Linked DNA regions of Daphnia pulex. Each later gene encodes a partner of the first gene's protein in a complex. Links are inferred from orthologs where the notes say so. Each region holds a gene or a part of one and is shown on either strand. Other genes may lie near its edges.

The links. The genes of interacting proteins can lie anywhere in the genome.
Region 2: the proteins of NADH dehydrogenase [ubiquinone] 1 alpha subcomplex subunit 8-like (region 1) and NADH dehydrogenase [ubiquinone] 1 alpha subcomplex subunit 13-like are in contact, whole or in part, in a cryo-EM structure (PDB 8ESZ), measured with the Drosophila melanogaster proteins. The link is inferred for Daphnia pulex from reciprocal best matches to the Drosophila melanogaster genes ND-19 and ND-B16.6. Residues at the interface, in NP_001163296.1 of Drosophila melanogaster: Val2, Ile3, Thr4, Asn5, Asn6, Thr7, Thr8, Leu9, Pro10, Glu11, Glu12, Leu15, Asn16, Val17, Gln18, Glu19, Leu20, Leu27, Arg28, Ala31, Phe32, Leu34, Gly35, Asn42, Phe45, Met46, Arg49, Asp54, Pro55, Arg56; in NP_001284943.1 of Drosophila melanogaster: Arg63, Asp64, Ile66, Glu67, Met68, Ser70, Ala71, Asn73, Val74, Ile75, Phe76, Pro77, Ile78, Val80, Ala81, Glu82, Arg83, Asp84, Arg85, Phe87, Leu88, Arg89, Leu91, Arg92, Arg93, Arg95, Val110, Gly111, Val118, Glu124.

Annotation. Positions count from the first base shown.
Region 1 is NC_060020.1:9,014,402-9,017,317, reverse strand, and holds NADH dehydrogenase [ubiquinone] 1 alpha subcomplex subunit 8-like, read right to left. Parts: upstream 1,505-2,916; 5' UTR 1,346-1,504; coding exon 1,217-1,345; intron 1,056-1,216; coding exon 880-1,055; intron 786-879; coding exon 575-785; 3' UTR 501-574; downstream 1-500. Other genes in the region: WD repeat-containing protein 7-like, read right to left, coding at 2,442-2,636, 2,729-2,833.
Region 2 is NC_060018.1:5,771,347-5,774,157, reverse strand, and holds NADH dehydrogenase [ubiquinone] 1 alpha subcomplex subunit 13-like, read right to left. Parts: upstream 1,359-2,811; 5' UTR 1,290-1,358; coding exon 1,199-1,289; intron 1,066-1,198; coding exon 912-1,065; intron 831-911; coding exon 761-830; intron 696-760; coding exon 555-695; 3' UTR 501-554; downstream 1-500. Other genes in the region: paramyosin-like, read left to right, coding at 1,687-1,803, 1,867-2,073, 2,152-2,438.

The sequences.
Region 1 (2,916 bases):
TAAAATAAATCTGAATAATGGGGGCGTGTACAGGCTGGAGGAAAGGGTAGCTTACAACACCTCTGTTTTGTTTTTTGTCTTTGAGCTGAAATAAAGTATGTCTACACCCTTAGGGTCTACTAGCGAAATGAATTTCGAAACACAGACACAATACCATAGCTGGATTCATGAAATACATGGCGGCCTTATATACTCCGTCAATTTGGACCCTGAGGGTGAAAAATTTTAGTTTCAAAATACGTTTCGCTCTTTAGTATGCCCATCGGCATTAGGTCCCGCGGAACGGGGCCAAAATTTTGGTCCGTTTCGTACAGCTGTTCCGCATTTTAAGCGTTTCGCTTTCGCAGTTTAGGGACGCCCCACGATACCCAAAACGTTCTGCTAATCTGTTTCCGAATTCCGGATTTTCCACTACCTGCCAAATACAAAGTGTTTCGTTGAGTATGATCAATGTCAACTCAACAACATTTCTTTGACATGGAACATAGTAAAATTGAATCTTGTCTTCATTACATTCATGTATTACAAGTCTTCCTACTTTTCAATACATATCTTTGTATTGGGGTATATTCTATTAGAGTGAACGCTTGCCAAACTTAGCTGGTTGCAAGGGTAAATCATCAGGGACTGGTAGTGGCGCGTCCGGATATTCTTGCTTTTTCACTTCAGGTCTTGGTCTCTCTGTGTGATGAACTTTTACTTCAGAAAAGTAACCAAAATACGGACGTTCGATTTTCAAGTTATCAAGCATACACTTGTCAAAGACTGCTTGTGTTTTTCTACACCTAATAATTACAGAAGCAAGAAATATTCAGGATAAGAAACAAAACAAGATTAAATAAAAGTTCTGATTGAAAATGCCAATAACTTATAGCTTACGGTTTAAAGCTGAAATCAGGACTTGAGCGATCCAAACAATTTGCAAATTGTGTGAACTCAACTGCACAATTCTTTTTAATCTTGCGAAAAAAATCAAGGGAACAGGCAGTAACAGCTTTTCCTTCATTCAGACATTTACGAGGATCCTGACATTCTTGACGGCAAAGCATAAATTCCTATTCATAAAAGAACAAACAATCTTACAATTTCTCATATGAAAAGTTAGTTGGCTTCATATTTCAGAAAATAAATAAAAATACATGATTTTCATGCATGATAAAAGATTAAAACCATGATAAACTGTTGTGCTTAGAAGTTGATATCAAATTATACATACATTGTTAACATTTTCACATGCTTTGCCCATATGAAAAGATGCAGCCCTCAGTCCTGGGGTACTAATTTCTACTTCTTGAACTGTTAATTCTTCTTCACTCGGAATGGTTATTTCTTTAGTTAAAACCATTACTGTAGCGTGAAATATTTGTCTCACAATTAAGACGCAGAGGGAAAGTAAAATATTTAAATTTACAGTTGAATAAATCGTTTATTCTCTACAAGTCAAGAGTCTCAACTCGTCAGCTGTTGCTCTCAGCTGTTCATCGCAACGCCATCTGTCCGTAGAAGGGTATAAAAGTCTATTTTATTTTTACCTGCTCCGCACCAAAAGACTAAAAGCAGAGCTATAGATGTTATTCCAAGGAAAAAGTAGTAGTCGAGCAAAAAAAGTCGTGCGCAGTTTACGCCGATGCGCACCACGGCGGCCGATAGCAGAACGAAAATTGTTATTACGCTTGACACCCTATGTAGACCCAATCCTTTGTTCGACAAGCAGACGGTTGATGGAAAACCTCTGACGAAGCCTTATGGACATGGAGAATTCCTACAGGGTCGCGTCAGCCAATTTGAGCACATTGGGCGTGGCCGCGTGGGGATGTCAGCGGAGAAGGATAGCAGGCGGAAAACGATACTGTTTATTCATTTTACCAGAAAATGCCACATAAAAGGTAATACGAAAAAAACCAGCGCAACTCCGGGACTTTTCCGTGCTATTTATGAATTATGAGTGTTGACACTCATCTACTTTTTTTTTCGAATGTTTCGGCTGTGTGGGAATCGCCTATCGTCTCTGTCAACCCTTAGAACAAAACGCGGCTGTGATGAAAAAAAGTACAGGAACTGACTCGGAGAATAGTACTTGCAAGTATAAAATGCTTTGCTGGTTGGTTTGATACGTTTTCATTAATTTTCCTACACGATTGGCTAGCACGATGGGAAACTCTCCTCCGACGACCACATTTTTCCTTCCAGAATAATACAAACAAGATAACTGATTAAATAGAAAATACATTTTAAAGTCATAAAATATAATTTAAAAATAAATGGCCGGAAATGGCAAGTGTTTTGATTAGAGTTTATTACATATGAAGACATCCAGACATAGAAACTGTTTAGAACTAACATCGAGCTCGCAATAGAAGCGACGACTATTTCATTGATTTATGGTTGGAATTCGACTTCTTCATTTTAAAAAGTAAGTTCTGACTTCTCATCATCACTCGTCAGAGATGGTAACGCGTTTCGGAGCCATCAGAAAGCATGATAGCAACTGTTTTGCCACTGTGCCACTGAAGACGAGCCATTCTCAACGGTATCGTACTTCCAGGTCTTACACACTGCGGCACGGGATCAGTGGTGTATGTTTTAACACAGCGTGTCTGAACCGCTCCCAATCCAAACACACCCGTCGCCGATTGCTACACAAACGGGAACAAACAATTAAACATGTCGAATCATTGAAAATGTTGCTGGTGCAGAGACGGGTCTATTTGAAACACGTGTTTCTTACCTGCCAAAACGACAGCCTGTTCTCTGTGCTAGAGTACGACGCTAAATTTTTCCCGTCAGGCGAAAAGGCGCAAGCCGTTATCTCGGCATTGTGTGCCTGAATGTACTGTATGTAGACAAGCGATTACAATTGATTCATTATTTGAGTTTAACGACAAGACTATTTTGACAGACTCCAAATCTCGAACG
Region 2 (2,811 bases), on another chromosome or scaffold:
CACACAGCTCTCTGCGGAATTGGAGTATCCTATATTGGGCAATGAAAATGTCATTCTAACTAGACCTTTAAATTTGCTATTCAACCTACAATTCTCTGATATTCGGCTGGTGCTGTTCTTCTATAGAAACAAATAAAATCAGACGGTACATTAAAAACATTCCCCACTACCTATGTTAAGTAATAAATGTTCGTATAAAACACGAAAGTCTAATTAATGATGCCTCACGTCTATTGGTGGAGGTTAGCTTTAAAAAAAATGCAGACAACGTAAAGCTTACAACGTCTTTGCTTCATCCGACTATATCATGCCTCTTGGCCAAATTCTTGATATTTTCTCCACAGATGATAAAACTTGTTTTTTTAAACTCCTTTTTAAATATGTTTCACCTAATTAATTTAATTGACTAGATGTCAATGTTTAACCTTCAAGCATATCATAATTATAATTTATGAGACTAAAAGAGAACATCTCCAAAACTCAAAGATCGCACAGTACCATTCAATACTCATTACTAGATTTTCCTGTTTTCACATTTACATCAGGAATGAAAACTAAACTTGGATTGCCTCTTCCATAGCTTTCTTGTAGAAATCCATATAAGGGGCATGGCAATAGTACTCACTAAGGATTGGATTAGAAAAAACATCCTTATCAAGTGTTTTAAAAATTGGTTGACCATTCCACTTGCCAACCTGAATGAAATGATGACCATTTTTTTAATATAGAAAAATTACAAAAATACAGGATATATGCATACCTCCCAGCCAGGGACATTGGCCATTAGTTTCTCCTCTTCATCTCGCAAAGCTCTGCAGTGCTTTAAGAATCTACAAAAAATTTAAGGAAATTACTTCTAAGAATTAGATTGTTGTATACTGATGAAATTTATAGTTTAAATTAATGCTTACGCTCTATCCTGTTCAGCCAACAGCAAAGGCAAGGTTGCTAAGTGAGAACCTTTTTTTTCAACCCTCCGATGGAGAATTCCAGGATAAAGATGGTTAAAGTAATAGTAGGTGGTGCAGCCATTGAGAATTATAAATCCAGCAAGCAACCTTCCTCCTGTATACACATTGTAAAAATATTGTAATTAGCAAATTAAGATGTAAGGTCTGTACTATTTGAACATAAAAAACCACATACATTGAAGGTAAATAAATCAAAACTATTCCACGAAAATGTAATCGAGACATACCTCTAAAGAATGTTTTTGCTGGATTACGAGCATACTGAATTTTTTCATATCCTCCAGGAGGTGGCAAATCTTGCTTGATGGTGGCATCCATCTTTGCTAACAGCTGGATACTGTTGTCTGTTGTAAACACCTGAATCAGCTATACAATCACCATCTGGCGGAAGATGGCAATAATCACAAATTTTCTGAGAAGGTAATTAAAATATTAATGCTGAAGATAAAAATATTTTCTTACTGTTCAAACTTCAAAGGAATAAGGGATGTTATTTTGATACCTTTTTTTTAGTTTCTGTGAGTTTATTGAATTAATATAAATGTATGGCAACTGCAGCAAAGTGCAGTTGTCGTTGTCATAGCGACGTGAAAATGGAATTGCAAAAGATGATTCAAATCAAAACAAACATATTCACTGCTGGTGATATTTTTCAGTTTACGTAACTACTACTTTTGATACTTGTCTTAATTCTTAAGTGACAAAAACTTCAAAAATGGATTTCCGGAAGAGTGATAGTCCAGATGAATACTACAAAGCGGTTCATCAACTTAAACAATTTTTGTCTGAAAGTGATAGTTCAGATCAACAAATTTATAGAAGTGGATTGAAGGTTGTATTAACTATTTCTAATGGTATAATCAAAACTGAATTGGTTCCTGTTCTTTGTGTACAGGCATCAGAAATAAGACGTGATCTTTCTTCATCAGAAAATTCAGAGACAAAATCACTTTCTGCTCGTAAAGCTCTCTTCAAGAGCCCAGTACCTCAAAAAAGTGGACTTTTGATTGAAGGAAATAGTTCAGATTACATTTTAACTGGAATGATTCAGAAGCAGATAATCTACATCAAAGCTTTGGAAAAAGAAGTGTCATTTTACAGGGTACTGCTGATATATTTACAGTTAATAATTTTTTGTTTTAAAATTTAAATGACAGTTTGGTTTTACAATACTTAACAGAAACAAGTACCTGGAATCATAAGTGAAACAAAGGTGATGATTTCAAATGAAGAGTCTAGTAGAATGGGCCAAGCAAATGTTGTGACACAAAGGCTATTTTCACTGATTGACACAATATCCAATGCAAAATTTTCTGTTAGTCATGAAAGTTGTGAAATTCAAAGAAAAAAAGTTTTGCAAGATTTAGCTGGAGCTCAACAACAGATCCAAGTGTTGAACCAACAATGGACAGAACATACTTGTTGGAATGGACAAAATAAATCAAAAACATCTGAAGACATCAGTAGGTATGGATCTCGTTTTCTATTACTTATTTTTATGTATGTTTTTGAACTTTTTTATGATGTAAAGAAATTATCAAAGGGTTAAGAATTTTCTGAAGTAGTCAACGTGGTAACGTGAAGTAATCGTGATAGCGTTTTTTAACACAAATGAAAGATTTTAGTTAATGAAAATTACATTCAAACTCTTCTCCTTCAATTGATTCAGAAACAGAAGGCTAGGTGGCGTAAGAAGGTTCGATTCGATTTTAAATCCTTTCTTGACGTTTTTCGTATTTTTACACCACGATTAATTTCCATTTACACAATTTCATCGATATTTTAATGTTCATATATAGATAAAGATGTTCTTTCTTTTTTGTTTTTAGTAGGAAAATCT